Linked DNA regions of Medicago truncatula. The protein of the gene in region 1 interacts with the protein of each later gene in a pairwise test. Links are inferred from orthologs where the notes say so. Each region holds a gene or a part of one and is shown in the gene's direction. Other genes may lie near its edges.

The links.
Region 2: the proteins of transcription factor PIF3 (region 1) and transcription factor PIF4 interact in binary tests that used the Arabidopsis thaliana proteins (3 or more experiments, as listed by UniProt). The link is inferred for Medicago truncatula from reciprocal best matches to the Arabidopsis thaliana genes PIF3 and PIF4.

The regions. Positions count from the first base shown.
Region 1 is NC_053042.1:41,800,569-41,810,138, forward strand, and holds the start of transcription factor PIF3, read left to right. Parts: upstream 1-5,762; 5' UTR 5,763-5,887; exon of another isoform or gene 5,888-6,224; intron 6,225-6,446; 5' UTR 6,447-6,611; coding exon 6,612-6,697; intron 6,698-6,834; coding exon 6,835-8,077; intron 8,078-8,161; coding exon 8,162-8,266; intron 8,267-8,377; coding exon 8,378-8,443; intron 8,444-8,843; coding exon 8,844-8,909; intron 8,910-8,997; coding exon 8,998-9,516; intron 9,517-9,570.
Region 2 is NC_053044.1:18,763,373-18,772,983, forward strand, and holds transcription factor PIF4, read left to right. Parts: upstream 1-5,057; 5' UTR 5,058-5,248; intron 5,249-5,926; 5' UTR 5,927-5,959; coding exon 5,960-6,033; coding exon of another isoform or gene 6,034-6,035; intron 6,036-6,139; coding exon 6,140-6,941; intron 6,942-7,034; coding exon 7,035-7,133; intron 7,134-7,217; coding exon 7,218-7,283; intron 7,284-7,457; coding exon 7,458-7,523; intron 7,524-7,607; coding exon 7,608-7,904; intron 7,905-8,009; exon of another isoform or gene 8,010-8,122; intron 8,123-8,379; coding exon 8,380-8,506; intron 8,507-8,866; coding exon 8,867-8,871; coding exon of another isoform or gene 8,872-8,875; 3' UTR 8,876-9,098; downstream 9,099-9,611. Other genes in the region: uncharacterized protein, read left to right, coding at 1-190, 295-453. UniProt on the Arabidopsis thaliana protein: Transcription factor acting negatively in the phytochrome B signaling pathway. May regulate the expression of a subset of genes involved in cell expansion by binding to the G-box motif.

The DNA.
Region 1 (9,570 bases):
AATTTAGACATACCAAAAATTTAAATAATTTTTTTTTTATGAAATTCAACGTGTTTTTTCTATAATACCCTTGACAATTTATTACTTCATTTTATTAATTATCTCCCTACGATAAATAGATAGAAGTACTATTGACAAATCAATAATTAATATTTTATATATAAAAAAATTAATAACCAACAATCTTGATAAACTTTTGATCCAAGTTGGATGCAAATTGTAACTTGTAAGGAGACAAATCAAATGCAGTAACAGCGTTTCATATAACAACCAAAAAAATCAGTGGCTATTGCAGGGAACCAAGAGAAATTAACTCACATATGATACGTGACGTGAAAGGGGCTAGAATAGAATTGAAGCAACGTGTCACATGAAATTCATCCATGCATGTGAAGTTCAGCTGTTTCTGAATTATTATTACAGTCATAACGACTAGAGAATTTCTATCGTACATTTGGAGAATCAGTTATTGTTCTTTGAACTTTGAACCAATACTTTTTCTTTTTAAAGATGAAATATATCTCAATAACTAAAATGAGTTACCATTAAATAAATAAATTTCAGTACTATATAATATCATTTTAAAATTTAGAATAATTAAATATATTAAAAATGTTTCTTTCAAAGCTAAAATATAATATAAATGACTCCAATCCATTGTACAAATTAGGGTTAAATATGTTTTTAGTCTTTATATTTTACGCTCTATTGAAGAATAGTCTCTACATTTGATTAAATATTTTTTTTAAAAAAAATATTGTTAGATAAGTATGTATCATCTAATTTGTTAGTTTGTTAGGGGAGAGTTGAACCTATGACACTCTTCTTGTTCCTTTAACTAAACTGTCTGCCGAACTTACCAACCATGCACCTTATTACAAACATTTTCTCTAGTCTTAAATATAAAACGAAAGTTAAGTAAATAAAAGTTAATGTATTTAGTTTAAAATTTGAATTAAATATATTAATATTTTATGATCAAATTTTGTCTTGTATTTAGGACAATGACAGTAGTTTGTTGATTCAAAGCATATATTTCAAATCTATTAATGAGTTAGAAAAACCATCACTCTCCAATCTAACCAATGGTTATCTGCACCGCAAACTCTTGACTCGTTCCTTTCTCTCATATATACACTAATCCTAGTACAATATTTAACGCTTATATTGTAACTATGGAACATGCATCCACCACAAAAAAGATAGGAAGTGAGGTCCACATGAATGCAGCCAAGTCCCTTAACCAGGTCAGGAAGGGTCCAAGTGGACGTTGGGCATTTCCCATGTCTAGCTCGGTCGGGTCCACACCATGAGCTTAGCTTTAATCTCTATTTATTTTGCAGAGTATTCCTTTGGCTCCCCAAATATAAAATATTCGTTTTGGAATGTTGGCTCCTCAAAGGCTAAACAGTCAAATAGAAGATATATAGTGCTGCAGGCAGTGCATGCTCCATGCGTTGTAAATGAGACTTATCATTCTATGAATATCTAGCATTTATAAAATATATATATATATATATATTACGCTGCTTTTTTATTAATATATATTTTGTATTGAGAAAAGTCTCACACCAAAAAGATGAGGATATACCAAAGTTTATAAAGAATGACATAATCCATTTTATTTTTTAATGATCAAGATAGATGAACGACAAGAATCTTAGTCTACCATGGAGAAATCGTTATGCCAAATCTATAAAATCATCAATAATATTTGCACCCATCACACGACTCTTAGAAAAGTTGATCTTGAACCATAAGGCAAGCTTGAAGCACACAAGGATATGTTTTTCAAAGACTAAATATTCCTAACCAATGCTTCCCCCAAATAAGAACATATATCATTTGCATATAGTATGTGAGTCATAGACAAACCAACATTACCCACCCTAAACCTAGAGAATATATTACGTTCTTCCGCACTCCTAACATCCCCACTTAGGCCCTCCACCATGAGAAGGAAGAGAAATGGAGCCAACGAATCCCCTTGTTTCAACCCCCTTGGATGTTGATCTCTTCAGTTGGGCTGCCAATAGCAAGCACATAGAGGTTCCTACATAAAACACAAGCACTAATCCAACTTCACAACCTCTCCCCAAAACCAAATCTCCTCAGCATATATACTCGAGAAAAGTTAAACTTACCAAGTCATAAGCCTTTTCAAAATCAACATTAAAAATAAGGCACTTTTCTTATAATTACGGGTCAAATCAATAATCCCGTTAACCGCCACCACCCGTCAACATTGTTAAATATATTGAGGGAGGGCTTTGTCACCCATTATACTACTATTCATATTGAGGGATTAGTTTATGCAGTTGCGCGTATATGATATACGTGGTTTACACAAAAAAAAAAAAACTAATTTGTGGTTTTTCTTTTAAGAAGTAAAAGCTATTTTGTCATTGAGTAGAATCTAACATGTATTTTTTACTATGTTATAGGTACGAAGTTTCTACCGTCATCTATCGATAACTATTTTTATCGAGAATAACTAATTTCTATCGAGGAATGTGAGACATTCATTAATGGTGGAATCTAATATGTTTCTAATCATATAAATCAACTAGGCTTAATGATGTGTTTCGTCCTTGCAATTAGGCGTCATTTAAAAATTAGTCCCTGTTATCGCTAATCCTGACAATTTACCCTTACATTATTTAATCATTTAAAATTTCGTCCTTTGACCAACTTAATCACTGTAACGTCATCAAATTAGCAAAATGGCATGAGAATGGACAAAAATAGTTGCAAGGACGAAACACATCATTAAGCCAATCAAAGTTGGATTACACGATGTTCCTTTACTTTATTTTCACTAAAATGTCGCTCATGCATTCCCTAATTTGTCTTGAATAAGGCAAATACTACAACTAAGTACATGATATCTAATATTGTACTTGGTTCCTATAATAAAATGGTATAATGTACTTAGTTATTGTCACGGTATGGAGTATCTTTTTTGACGGCACACAGTACGTATAGGTATAGTAGTTATTGTACTTGCCATTTTCTAAGAATGCATTTCATTACGGCATAGATTGGTTATGCGTCAACCAAAATCTGCAGGGTTAAATACTATTATTAAAGTAGCACTTCTTTTAGGCTATAAAAAGACATTACCTATCAACTGAGTTGTATCAGAATACATGAGACATTGGATATATTTATCTCCATATATCTATCTATCTTATTTATCTACTGCAAATCACACATATTATAAAAATACACAAAAATCAAAGAACTTTGATATCATCGACGTAGTTACTTAGAAAAAGAGGATACACAATTTGCTACTCCACACTACTATCTTTTTAATTAAAAGACAGGCAGACATCCAATCCCTTGCAGATTATCTCGTTGACCCATAACTAATCCGTGTCTTAATAAAATATATGCATTCTTAGAAAGTGGCAATAAAAACCTCTACTCGTATTATACTATGTTGTATTTGCCTAATTAAACACAGAGGTCATGGGGGACATTTTAGTGACAATAAAATATGGGGACCGCGCATGTTAATCTAACTATAGTTTATTTTGTTAGGAACATGTTAGATTCTACCTGATGATGACAAATGAGCCTTAATTAATACTTTTTCAAGAAAACTACAACTAATTAAAGTAGTTGTCTTTAATTCTTTAGATTTCAAATGATTGAGAATTTAACTCATATAAAGTGAATTAAGTGTATATGAAAAAAAATTGATTTGTTCTAATGCATATAGTGCATTTGATTTTATTATTAATTGTTCACGTTTTCGTTGACTTCTTCTCAAGTTTTTAGTAGAAGAAGGTATGATATTTCAGACTTCTGTCCGAGGTAAGTAATAAATTATGATTTGATTATTTTGTTTTAGTTAGGGTTTTAATTCAAATTCTTTCATACGATTTTATTTTAATGAAAAGTTCATTAACTATTTAAGCACACCTACTTAGTTAAGTGATTAATTAGCTCGCATAAAAACAACTCATACACTGATTAATTATGCCAAAACCCTTGTCACAACAAATCCAAGACTCATTATTCCAAAACCCTTGTCACAACAAATCCAAGACGCACATAAGTTTTAAAACATAGAAAATCAGAAAAAGGACACCACTCTAGCATGATTGCAATGCCAAGTTGCCATTGCCAAATATCATAGGCCACCACTCAATTATCCTTAAACCAAAGTCTCTCCCACAATGAAGGGAAATAAGATTGCTCCTTTTGTCAATTAAGCTTATTTTAATTAATACAAAAAAAATAATGATCAAGTCAATGACTTTATTAATGTCTTAAACTTCAATTAACAAACCAAGAAATTTAATTATGTATTTTTTTAAGGTTATCTACTAAAGAGTGTCACTGTCCAAACAAGTTATAATGATATGGATATGATTTTGTTGTGTTGCATTATGGATGCACCCAATTTGCAAGGATAATATATACAAAAGAACTTATAAATTAAATACACAGTACAGGGACATTTTCTCTCTCATCTTACCATGGTCCACTCCATGGTCTCACACACTATTATGGGAAACAAACCTACCCACCCACTTTAGGGCAAAAAAGTCTCAGACAGCAATAGCAGCGTGTGATTCACTCGCTTAAAAGGAGGGTAACCGTTGGATTTTGAAAAGGTTTAAGAAAACTTTGTTTTTTTTTTTTCCCTTAAAAAACAATAATAAATCATTATTTTCTTTAAAAAACAATAAATATAAATTGGTAAAGTGTATCGAATACATCACAAGTTTAAAATCGTTAAAAATAATATGGATGAATCTATAAATAAACTTACAATACTTAATTAGTAGTTTCCTTAGAAAAAATTAATCTGTAGTCCTAACAAAATATTCAATTAATAGTATACAACAACAGTGGATTATTTACGAATAATATAATAAAATCAAAATGAATCAAATAAGCACCGCAATAACGCGAGAAATAAAAGAAAAAACGTCAACATCATACAAGATTCCAAACAACAAAACACAACACGTAAACGACGAAATCATGAAAAAACACGAAAAATTTATCTATTTGAAACCACTTATTTAAATTTAGTGAAGAGAAAAGATAATATAGAGCATGTCGTTCATTGTAAGGAGCTTCTCGACTTTAAGTATATGTGAACTTTGTTAGGGATATCCTTTTTGATGTATTTAGGCGGGCGGGAGTATAAGTGAAGAAGGAGACGCTTTTGAACTTTCTGACCGACCCATTAGATAGAAAATCGACACTTAGGCCTGCGGATGTTATGATGTACATATGGACAGGAGGAAAACATGCATGCGTGGACTTGATTGAGGTTTCACCACTTGTGGGATTAGGGGCCAAGGCTTTTACAGTAAGACAGACAGCCCTAAAAGTTGTGTCAAGCAAAATGGTCAAATACGAGAAAGGTGTTCTGACAATCAACGTGTTTTTACATTATTATTTTTTTACACTTTCGGCTTCCTAGCACCAGAGGATGTTGACATTCTATATTGAGTTTAAACATTCGTGCATAGTAATGTCATGTCTCATAGGTCCATAAATATTATATTTATCCAAAAAGACCCAACGGTACAACTTGTTGCTCGTTTGTCTTCTATTGATATGTGCATATAATCCTATAAATAATTAAATGATTACAATTTGGTGCTCGCTTGTCTTCTATTTATATGTCCAAATAATCCTAGAAATAATTAAATGATAGAGAGAGAAAGTGGTTTAAAAAAAAAAAAAAATTGATCCAAAAATGAATAAAGAAGAAACAAAACTTAACCAGACATTAACCATGGTTTAGAATAGAAACCTTTTTTTTCTCTGTTTTTGTCTTCCCAGTTGTGTGCGTGTGTCACTGCATTGGTTTTCTTCAAACTCTGCAAATCTTTCGCCGCCTTCTTCGTCCATTTGGGTCATTCCCGAACTTCTTAAATAGTGCATTTTCTCTTTCTTCAAGCTTCAAAGATTGCTTTTTTGATAACTTCTGAGTTGCATTTGGAATATCAAAAAAACCTTCTTGTTGTGTGATTAAGCTAAAGTTTTCATGAAATTTTGAAACTTTTTGATTACCCAGTTGAAAAATGATAACTGGGTCATTGGAGTTACATAGATTTTCCTTGATCTCAGCCGAGAATCAGTGTCACTGTATTCAGTGGAATTTTTGTTAACCGACTTAAATGCTGATTAGTGCTTAATTTTAAGATTAAAAAATTAAGATTGGATTAAAGTCACTTACTTTACTTGACAAGGTTAGTATAAAGAATTTGTTTGACTGATGTTGTTTTATTAACTTAATTTTGTATTATAGTTTTGTAACTTTTGTTAATTCATTGATAAAGACTTTTTTGGGTATTAAAAAAAGATTTTTTTTTTTTTTAATTTCATTGATGCAAGCTTGTTTTTGTTTCATTTTAAATTGAATAGAGATTGATATGATTATCTCACTCATAGTTTATTGTGGCTTACGTCAGGTATTTCTGCTTTGTCTTCAAACTTCATTTGGATTCCAAAGGTGGAAAAGATAACACACAAGAATATGTTGGAAGCAATGCTAATACTAAGAGCTTTGGTTTTTTGATTTGTGGTTTTTTAGCTGAGGTTTTGGTTCTGTTGAGCTTTTGATTCATTCATTCATCATGCCTCTTTATGAGTTATACCGTTTGGCCAGAGAGAAGCTTGATAATGAGACTAACGGCACAAGTGTAGCAGATCAACCTTCGTCGTAAGTTCATTAACATAAGCTTTTGTAACTTGTGTTATTAACTTTTTTGATGTGTTTGATGAAATGAAATGGTTTCTTTTGTTTATGTTTTTTTTTCTCTTAGTTTTGTTTGTTTTGGATTTGATTTGAATGTGTAGGCCTGAGAATGATTTTTTTGAGCTGGTTTGGGAGAGTGGTCAGATTTCAAGCCAAGGTCAATCAAGTAGAGGTAGAAAGAGTCCATCTTGTAGGAGTTTGCCATCTCACTGTTTACCATCTCATAGTCCTAGAGGTCGAGATAAAGATAAAGACGTAGGAGGAGGATTTAGTAACAACAATCCAAAGATAGGAAAGTTTGGTGATTTAGACTCTGGATTGAATGAGATTCCAATGTCGGTGCCATCTCGCGAAGTGGATGAAATGATGCCTTGGTTGGATTATTCAATGGATGGCTCTTTGCAACACGAATATGGTTCTGATTTCTTTCATGAACTCACGGAGAATGACCTTCCTGCCTCGAATAGTTTTACTCTATTGGATAAAAGGAATAATGGGAATCAGATATTTAGGGACTCTCATAAAAATTCTGCAGAAGCGATGAATGTTTCCAAGGGTTCTTCAGCTGAACAGGTTGTTGAGACTGCAAGACATAAAGCTAGTGCCAGTCAGTTATATCCCCCATCATCAAATCAATGTCAAACAACATCTGTAACTGTTAGATCTAGGGCATCAGATATAACCGAAAATAATAATGTTAGTAGTGGTAACCAGGACGTGCCTTATGGGGATATTACTCGCATTCCATCTTCCTCGAGCGATTTTTCTAGCTTAAAAGCGCAGAAGCAAGATCCTGTAATGCCTGGCAATGGTTCCAATGTAATGAATTTTTCCCATTTTGCAAGGCCTGCAGCTATTGTGAGAGCTAATCTTCAGAACATTGGCTTGAAGTCTGGTTTGAATTCAGCTTCAGCAAGATCAGATATTATGGGAGTTAAGAATAAAGGCGCTGCTTCGACTAGCAGCAATCCTCCTGATTCAGCTCTTGTTAATCCAAGCGGTGAGTGTTCAAAGGAACCGGAAATGCGTTGTCATAAGGTGGTAGAGCCATCCAAGGCTGATTTGAAACCTTTGCAGCCGAAATCGCTTGAACCGAATGCTGTAGCTACTAAACAATCGAAGCCTGCTTGCAAAGAGAATGGAATTAAGAATGATCAACCTTCCATTCAAGTTCTTGGTGACAATGGCGCTAAAGGACACGCAGCTGCTGACAAAGGCATGGAGGTGGCAGTAGCCTCTTCTTCTGTTTGCTCTGGCAATGGTGCAGACAGAGGCTCGGATGATCCAAATCGAGATTTAAAACGGAAAAGTAGAGACACTGAGGACTCTGAATGCCATAGTGAAGTAAGTTAATAATATAGATATTTTTACATTGTTTTCTTAATTTATAATTTCCCTCTATAAACCAAGAAAACACTTTGATTGAAGGATGTTGAGGATGAATCAGTGGGAGTTAAAAAGGGAGCGGCTGGACGAGGAGTTGCAGGTTCCAAAAGAAGCCGTGCTGCTGAAGTGCATAATCTATCTGAAAGGGTGAGTAAGGCCATCTGTTATTTGTGTCATGTTAACTTTGTAACCACACATATTTTTCCTCAAGCTTATTTTATTTCCATTTTGGCTGATGATCATAATTTATGTATACAGAGGCGAAGAGACAGGATAAATGAGAAGATGCGTGCATTGCAAGAACTCATACCTAATTGCAATAAGGTTAGTTTTTTTCCTTCTGATTTTGCTCTTCTTAGATACCTGAAAAACTGTATAAAATTATGGACTTCATTTGTTGTTTTTGACAAATATAGAATATTGGTTGCCACTATGGATCCAAACTTAGCTAGTTACAGAAGCTTGTTCTTTTTTAGTGCAGAAGATTTATGAAATTATTGGAAGTTAAAATTTACAGCAACAAATATCAAACTTGGAGTCAATCATTTACCGTATTCATGAAGTGTATTCAATATTCATAATAAAAATGTCAGAAATTCCATTTTGGCTTGTTCAAAAAAAAAAAAAATGTCAAAAGTTCAATACAAACTATTAAAATACTTTCTACATGTATGCATACTTAATTCCTTATTTATTTCGGCTTTTCTGACTTCATACGGACTAGGTGGATAAAGCTTCTATGCTGGATGAGGCAATTGAGTATCTAAAAACACTTCAGCTCCAAGTTCAAGTAAATATCGTTCCCCCTCGGCATTAATATTTTAGTTTTAAATTTTCTGATTATAAACGATGTTGAGAGTGATTCCTATCTTACGCAGATGATGTCAATGGGAGCTGGTTTATATATGCCTCAAATGATGTTACCTGCTGGAATGCAGCACATGCATGCACCACACATGGCCGCATTTTCACAGACGGGCATCGGCATGCATATGGGGTTAGGTATGGGTTATGGAATGGGAATGCCTGACATGAACGGCGTGCCGTCTAGATTTCCAATGATTCAAGTACCTCAGATGCAAGGAAATCATGTGCCCGTTGCGCATATGCCTGGACCCTCTGCTATGCATGGAATGGCCAGATCGAATACTCAAGGGTTTGTACTTCCGGGACAGGGAACTTCCATGCCAATGCCGCATACTCCGGTATTCCCTTTTTCAGGAGGGCCTCTTATGAACTCATCCGCTCCGGGTCCGTCTGTGTATGGATCCACAGGACATGTTGAAGCTGTGAATCCGGCTTCAGCGTGTGGCTCAAAAGATCGAAGGCCAGATGTGGACTCAAAAATTAAGCAAAACACTGCTGGTCGTGACTCTACAAGCCAGATCCCTAACCAGGTCTGTTTATCCCTAACCAGGTCTCTGTGATCAATTTTCACATTAGTTAAAACA
Region 2 (9,611 bases), on another chromosome or scaffold:
GAAGGTTATCAAGCCTTCTGTGTTTGTTCCTCCGATGCATTTTGTTGTCGACAGAATAAATGTTGCACCAACATTCAACAATAATCTGCCTCCTTTGACTGCTAACCTTTCATTTCGCCATGACAACAACAATTTTGCTGTTAATATGATGAAAAAACTAACTGAAAATGATGTTTCTAAGGGGTTTTTGGTAGGTCGTATGGTTTGTTTATTTTTGTTTTAATCAGTTTTCATCTTTATAATTTACATGTCCCTGATCCTAATTACTGTACGTGATGTTCGCTTTAAATGAAGGTGTTGCATTTTGGACATTTTGTGGATCAAGCTTTTGACAAGGCTAGAACAAACTTGAAGTTGCTTGATGAGTGTGGAAATTCGTGGCAATGTGTCTTGGTTTTTGCTTCTGCATCATATGGGCAATGTGTCTTGGTTTTTGATGTAAATGTCACGTGATGTATAAGAAATACAAACTTCACCATCTTATTACTATACTATTATCTAGCTAGCCTTCATATATAATATTTAAGAAGAGAGATTACAAATATATTTATGTTCTAATTTGTATTTTTGCCTGTCTTAATTTTTATCTTTTTCAATTATCTAAAGTCTTATTATATTATCGAATGCCATACAGCTTATAAGACCCGTGCGGCGCACGGGTCATCAATCTAGTTCAAATATATCTTAGAGCTTCCTCCTATCACTAGTTTATAAAAGGATAAACACCATAGTTTACACCAATAGTTGGTATTATGAGAAGAAAAATGCTTGCAAGTCTGCTGCCAAAGCACATTCATTACACTGGCTTTCAGACACTTGCCACAAGAATGAAGAAGATAAGAGATAATGAACCGTAATTTTCAATTTGAGGATATATGATGGAAGAGGATGAGATGAAGTTTGTTGGAACAATAGTCAAAATTAGTTAAAAAAAATAATTTTGTCACCGAAGATATTAGTAGGCTGATTCGCGGACTAGGTCGCTCTTTTTAAGACGTTTCATGACACTGTCCAAAATTGTGAAAGAAGAATATCAACCACGATGTCCCCAGGATAAAACAACCCAGCTACAACTGTATCAAAGTCCTATTGCACTATAGGATCTGTTCTAGAAATACACCTTCAAATATGGTGCTAAGACCACTCTAATATGATATTGATACCACTCTATTATGGTACTAGGACCATTATATGGTACTAGGACCATTCTTATATGGTACTAAGATCATTCTTATATGGTGTTTCCGCCACTCTAACCTCTAACTTTTTCTCCTAGGGCATAAAACATAAAAAGGGATTATATTCTTAAGATCATTCTTATTTTTCGAAGGGACACTTTATCTTGAAAGGGACTATGTTCTTAAGACCATTCTTAATTCCGAAGGGACATTTTAAACCGAATAGACTATGACCTTAAGAACACTCTTTAAATCCGAAGGGACAAAAAAAGAGGAAGAGAAAAAGAATAGCTCGTCAACACAAGCTAAAGGAGGGAGAAGAGAGAAAAATTATTTGACAACTCAAGAGAACTTTTGGGGAGAATAGAAGTGAGGGAGAGGAGCTCTACTTATAGGTGAAAAGCCAAAGATGAATTACAAATCCAATGACTATGATTAGTTGACCGTTAAAAAATCAATGGCTTGATCTCGCCTCATAAATGAATACTAATATTGAGAAAGTTTACATGAGAATTTGTTTTAATCGACACCGTAACACTCCATATGTTCCAACAAAGTTAAATTTAGAAAGGTAACAATCAAATCCACGCTGGTTGCCACCTATTATTTTTTAACTTTTTTTATAACTCCTATGTAATGTTGGAGGCTAGTATGCTACCTAGTAAAAAAGATAAATACTAAAACAGATAAAAAAAATAAAGAACTAAAACAAATATTTGTTTTTAACAAGTCAAAATGAATTATATTAACACTGACAGTGCAATCGCTTCAGCACAAGGCGTGCCAAAACAATCACGAAAAGTATAATAGGTCTGTTAAAACTACATAAAAAGCTAGTTGTTGCCAAATACATAAGTGGAATCGACCACTACAAATGAGTACCGAGAACAAAGGTAGCATTACTAGCTTTCAACCACCACAAAGAGTATGATTTATTTTATCTAACAGAAGTGGAATAAAGCTTTGTTGGTTCTTAAATTACATGTTATTTCGTTCGTTCCACAAGACCCAAACGCACAAGAGCCATATCAGATGAAAAATGGATCGCCGTGATTTCAGACCACCTACATAATTAATAAATTGCAAGATATGATCTGAAATAACATGAGAGTCCGCTCCATCAAATCCAAGCTACACCCGCACCAATTATTAGATAAAGGATAAATAATCTCACAAATAGACGATGAGATTGAATCTTTAAGATTAGTCAATCAACGGATAGGAGACCAGAGTTAAAAAAAATATATAAAAAATACTTAAACCTATAATATATTAATATATTTGTTGTATGCCCTTTGAGATACTCCTCCAATTGAGTGCTGTACAACAGTACTCATGAAAAATGGCAAACCTATGTTAGGTCTATTAGTTTCGCATCAAAGCAATATCTTCCAACTTGCAAGTACAGTACCACATAAGAATTTTTTTCAACTTTATTATTAAGTGACATAAGAATTTCATAATAATAATCTAATTACAACAATGCACATGTGGAAATTCTATGTCTTGCAAAAGTAAGAGAATACAATAATAAAATAAAGAGATAGGTTGATAGTGTTTGATAATTTGGAGGAGCATGAGGGCCACGTCTTTTCTCCGACATTGATGTCCCTTATCATTTCTCCAATAGAAAAACACAGCTTGTCACTGCCAAGTGGCATCATCCTCCATCCAATTTGAGATAGCACCCACCATGTGCTTTGAGTTTTAGATTTCCTTCTGCTTTAAATAATCAACAACCAATATCCAGATAAGCAAATAAATTTTCCATATCCAATTATTGTAAACTTTAAATTTATTATTAACGGTTCCCGTGAACATAATTCAGTTGGCAGAGACATTCATTATTATATGTAGGGGTTTGGGTTTGAACCTCGAACACTCCACTTATTCACTTTAAAAAAAGTGAATTCTAGCTATTAGACTACTTAAAAAAAATCATTATTAACAAGCAGAGGATTATGTGTAAGCATTTTTATTGATATAAAATCTGAACCTTTGTTCATAAATATAATATAATTATATAATTATTTACTAACAAGATCACATTTATGGATTGCACTTGTGACCTAATGTCACAAGTATAATTTTTTAAACATAAAAATATATGAAAAAGTAGAAAAAATAGTTGAATTAATTTATGTGTCATAATTAGATTGGTTAATGTTAATGTCAACTTTAAACGAGAGATTAAAAGTGAAGATAAATTATTTATATGTATCCAGAAATACTCAATTATTGTGGTTTGGTTTGTTTAATTTGGTTTTGAAAAAGTGATTTAAAATCTTACCTAAAGAGTCTTTTACAAAACATTATTTAAATGCATCCAGAAATACTCAATTATTTATATGTATCGCTCTTTTAGATCGGTTTGCAATTTTATTTTGGATTAGGTTGATAGTGAACACCCTTAATCTTAAGGACATTAATTAAGGGAGATAAAAAAGTAATAATTTTATGTGAAATAAAACAATTTTAAAAGTTTAAAAATAGAATTGGGTGAGGAGGACGGGAGATTGAAGGAGGGGGGACGGTGCATCTTTAGATGGTGGAGGACAGATTCTGATGTTCGAGGGGGCGTGGGATTGGGTGTCGGGAGTTGGTTCGACGACAACACACGTCGGGTTGTGGAAAATGGTAGTAGTACTTACTTCTGGACAGATAATTGGGTTGGCGGTGTTCCTTTACGGGATAAATACCGCATGCTATTTGATATGGCCGTGAGGCGAGGGAGTACGGTGGCGGAAATGGCGACCTTAGGTTGGGAGGTAGGAGGAGGAGCTTGGGTGTGGAGAAGACGCCTTTTAGCGTGGGAGGAGGAAGAGGTGAGGGAGTTTTCTGCTTTATTATCTAACATTGTTTTGCAGGAGCGTACTAATGATAAGTGGAAGTGGTTGTTAGACCCCATCCATGGCTATTCGGTGCATGGAGCTTATCAGTACCTCACATCTGCAGATGAGCCTACGGATAGGCACAACCTATCCAATGTTTGGCAACGACAAGTACCTCTAAAAGTTTCACTCTTTGGGTGGCGGCTACTGTGCAATATTCTTCCAACAAAGGACAATGTTCGGTGTCGGCATGTCATTACATCAGATAATACTTTGTGTGCCGATGGTTGTGGCTCTCAAGAGACGGCGAAGCATATTTCTTTTGGCTGTGCGACTCTGGGATGTGTATGACATCTTGTTTGGGAGTGGTTACAACTTATGTCGGTGTCTCCTTTATCACTTAATGTTCACTTTCTTCAGTTTAGTCATATATGGTGGCCATGTCGCAATCATCTCATTCGTTCTTCAAAATAATTTGGTTGCATGTATCTGGGTCATTTGGAAGGAGAGGAACAGTCAGGTTTTCAACAATAAGGCGGATGATCCTCATCATTCTCGACATGGTCAAACATACTTCTTTTTGGTGGTTAAAGGCGCATTTGTTTACCTTTGCATTTGACTATCATGATGGGTGGCGAAACCCTATGTCATGCATGGGTGTTTTTGTGTAATTATATCATTATTATTACGTCCATAGGATGGTGCTCCCTTGATATTGCACCAATGACTTTGTAACTTTGAGTGTTTCATCCGTTACACACCTTACGCGTGGTGTTTCACTCCCGTTTTAATTTCATGTTCCATTTTGGCTTATTAAAAAAAAAAAAAAAAAGAATTCACCACTCTAGCACATATTAATTTTCCTTTCTTAGAAGTTAGAACAATCTATATCATTTTCCTTTACAATTGATTTTACCATGTGATTTATTTTCCTTTTCAACTGATTTTACCATGTGATTTATTTTACTCTACAATTGATATTACCATGGGATTTCATCTCTCTCTCTCTCTATATATCTAAATGTGCTGATGTCAGTATCTTTCTTGTTGTTAAAACCTCTTGTTCATACTTTGTTCTCACACTTTCCAAAGCATAAGGACACACTCAAAGAGAACCAAACACAGAAGAAAAAGCAGGAACAAACAAGGAGCTTCTCTGTCAAGCTTCCAGCTACTTTCTACATCAGCAAGTCAGAAACAAAGGAGAAAAGAAACTAAAATCTATTTTGCTCAGTTTAGGTGAACTTCTTCTTTTATAATCCTTATCTAAATCTAAATGTGAGTGTTATAAATAATGGTCATAAAAATTATTAAATTTTCATACTTCTCTCTACTTCATGTTTTTCATTTATCAAATTAAATAAAGTACTATAAAGTGATTCATCAATCATTTCTTTGCTTATTTGCTTTCTTATTTTCTTCTTTTTTAGGAAATTGTTTTTCTGTGTCTGTGATAATATGCAATCTTTATGTAAGATAGCTGTCTCAAATTTTGCCTAATTTGTTGTGTTTAATGTTTTGTTATAAATTTTATTTTATGATCTTTCTCTTCTGGGCTTATGAATGTACATGTACTTTCAATAGTAATTGAGTGTTGATTTTTCCAATTTTGGGACTCTTGAAATTGGAATTCTTTGTTCAGAATAGAAAAAAAATACTTTAGTTTCATTTCATTGGTTAATTAATTCTCTTCTGTTAGTAAAGTTCCACACATGATCTAAACTCTTAAACCCTTTAAATTTTTTATTCCTTTTTTATCAATATAAAAATCTGTTTAATCTCATGCATATTTGATTATTCATTTAAATGGTCTTTACATAATATTTTATTCTTCTGCTTAATGGAGTCAAATTCTACTTAAAGGATCTTCATTTTTCTATTAAAAAAACTAATTTTCTTTCATTTTGGCGCAAACAGGTACTAGTTTGGTTCAGTTCGGTTCAGTTAGCGATGAACAACACCATTCCTGATTGGAATTTTGGGATTGATAGTTTTGTCACCAATCAAAAGAAGCAACCTATGGGGTTTGTGTTCAATATTTCATTATCAAAGCATAACAATATTATTGTCCAAATTAAATTTGATTAAAATATGAATAATTAATTATTAACCATGTGTTTAACATTACAGACTGGACCATGAACTTGTGGAGCTTCTATGGCAGAATGGTCAAGTAGTATTGAATAGCCAAACAAATAAGAAACAACTTGTGAATAACTCAAGACAAGTTCATAAGAATCTTCAATCAACAACTTTAAGCAACTTGATTCAAGATGATGAAACTGTTTCATGGATCCAACAATACCCTATTGAGGATCCACTTGAACAAGAATTATGTTCAAATCTTTTATCTGAACTTCCACCTTGTAATGTCGAGTCTTTCAATTCGCAACCGACGAATACAAAACCGCCTTTTGTTCAGGAATTTCCTATGTCGGCTCCGAGGTTTCATCACCTTGTTCCCGATTCATCGCAAAGAAACAATGATTTGTGTGGATCCAGCAAGGTTGTAAACTTTTCTCACTTTTCAAGACATCCCAATGTTACTTTAGCATCTACTAACGGCGATGCAAATTTAAGAGACAAAATTACGGGTAATCTGTCACAATGTGATGTTAGAGAGTGTTCGACGATGACAGTCGGTTCAAGTTATTGCGGAAGCAACCAAGTCCAACAAGATCCAGATGTAAGCAGAGTTTCAAGCAATGGTGTTTGGACTAATTTATCGACCGAGCCTGAACAAGTCAGAAATGATGTTCAGAAGACAATTCCTCGGCATGAGAATGGGAAATCGGAGAAGTTGGAACCTGCTTTTACTTCATCTTCTGGTGGTTCGGGAAGTAGTCTTGGAAAAACTTGTTCTTTATCTACAAGAAGTCATGACAAAAAGAGGAAAGTGATGGATGTTGAAGATTCAGTCGAACAAAGCGAGGTAAAACTGCGCCCTCTATCTTTTTACCTTCATAATTAGATGTTTTTCATTAATTGATACACTGAGTTATGATTTTATGGTTTGTGTTAATAGGATACAGAACTTAAATCAGGCGTGAGGAAAAAGACGTCTCAGCGATCAGGGTCGGCTCGTAGGAACCGCGCTGCTGAAGTGCATAATCTTTCAGAAAGGGTAAGGGTTTGACACTTCTCTAGATAGACTGAAGTTTTCTAAAATTTTGCGCTTACAAGAAGTGTTATTGATTTATTGATGCAGAGGCGAAGAGATAGGATTAATGAGAAGATGAAAGCATTGCAACAACTCATACCTCACAGTAGTAAGGTTTGTCATCAAACCATGTTTTTTTTTATAGGAAATTGCTAGTGGTTAATTTTTTAAGGCAACAAAGAATTTGTTAGTATCAGGTATTGAACCCTGAATACGCGTCAATATAATCTTGTATAGAAAACGATCGATTTTCCATTCTGTATACTGAGTAAGTGATATATATTGCAGACGGACAAAGCATCAATGTTAGAAGAGGCAATTGAATACTTGAAATCACTTCAGTTACAACTTCAGGTATATATTATGTGCCATACAATAATATCTTGCATATGAAAATCGCCTCGCATTGCTAAAGAATTTTTTTGATCTTTCTGTTAGGTAATGTGGATGGGATCTGGCATGACACCAATGATGCTACCGGGATATCAGCACTATATGTCACAAATGGGTATGGGAATGACTACGCCTTCGTTTCCTCCACTTCAAAATCCAATGCAATTACCGAGAATGCCTCTGGATCTGTCCGTTTCTTCGTCACAGACGCCAAATCAGACATTAACGTGCCAAAATCCTGTTTTAGGTGCCTTCAACTACCAAAATCAGATGCAAAATCCTGCTCTTTCGGAGCAATATGCTCGTTACATGGGCTATCATCTTATGCAAAATGCTTCTCAGGTACTTAGGGTTTGTTTGGATTGATATGTTTTTTCTACTGACATAAACATCTGAGAGACTATTTACGAGATCCTATGGAAACAAGTAATATGACATGTCGGGTGCGATCATACCAGCACCAATCCACCGGATCCCATCAGAACTCCGCAGTTAAACGTGCTTGGGCGAGAGTAGTACTAGGATGAGTGACCTATTGGGAAGTCCTTGTGTTTAAAAACAAAGTTATTTGACATGTCTATAAGTTGTTTTCAGCTTATTTGCACAAGTTCTTCATGATAGTTTAAGAAAACAACTTATATCTTATATGAAAACAGTTTAACTTATACTTTCTCTTTTTGTTAGAATATAACTGTTTAGTTAAGTTATTTATCCAAACAGGGTCTAAATTTAAGATGCTCCCCTTATAACTTAATGATATTCTCATGTTTTACCTATGGAAATTAATTTTACCTTGTATGTTGGTACTATTTTGTAGCCAATGAATATGTACAGATATGGTCCCCAAGCTGTACAAAATAGTCAAACAATGATTCCACCAAGCAATAGCAGTGGACCAATGAGTGGAACAGCAAACATTAATGATGCTGTGAGTGGCAAAATGGGTAGGCCAATACATAGCCTCTAATATTGTTCTCATATTATATGCTATATAAAGACATATCATTAAAAGTTTCATGATTTTTTTTTTCATTTTCTATTTAAAGGGTGATTCTAACTGATGCCCCGGATATTGGTTAAACATGCTAAAAAAGGAAATTATTATCATAAAAAAAAACATTTTTTACTTTTGTAGTATTAATTACACATTTTTAATGCAATAACTATTATCTAATTTCCTTTTTTATCATCCTTAACCGTGTTCTGTAGGTACCGGTTAGCATTTCCTTATATATCTAAAACTTACTAAAATTGTTACTTTTTTGAAGGACTAAAATTTTTACTTGCTGTCATTTTGTTTACAGGTTAATTAGTTTAGAGGAATTCCTAGAAGAACCAGCAACAAAAATATGTCTGCCAGCTCAACTATAAATATATGTATGTAGATAATATAGTTCACTTGATTTATATACAAGTGACTTATTTTTTGGATCTGTTGAAAATCTCAGATTAAATGAGATATGATTTAAAAATATGTTTATAAATAGAGGCAATTAGGTCCGACCTAAATTTTAAGTTGATCTATTGGTTGTGGTTGTACAATAATGTCCAAATAAAAACAGAAGCAACAATAAAAAGGGTCTAAATGTGAAATAAAAGGAAAGAATCAATACCTTCATTGAAATTCTATAACAATAAAGAAATTGTTTTTTTTTTTTTTTAAAAATAGCTACAATTAAAAATATTAAGAAAATGTTATATTACCATTCTTTCCTTGAACTCTTGTTAAAAGTAATAAAGTTGGTCTTCACATCATGCATTGTTACTAAATCAATCCATCAGACACTGATATATGAAAGGGCCACCTTCTACATGTTAAATGGAACATAAAACAAAAGTTAAATGTGTTTTTGTATCTATAAAGTTACCAAATTTTAAAGTTTAGCCCCTACATAAATTTTATTCAATTTTAATTGTTATTTTGATACTTCTATAAATAAAAATAGTGTTAACCCATTTGGGTTGGCCTGGTGGTATTGGCTTGGGATCTGGGAGTGTACTCTTCTTTGAGGTCTCAGTTTTGATTCTCTCCGATGCCAATTTATGTGG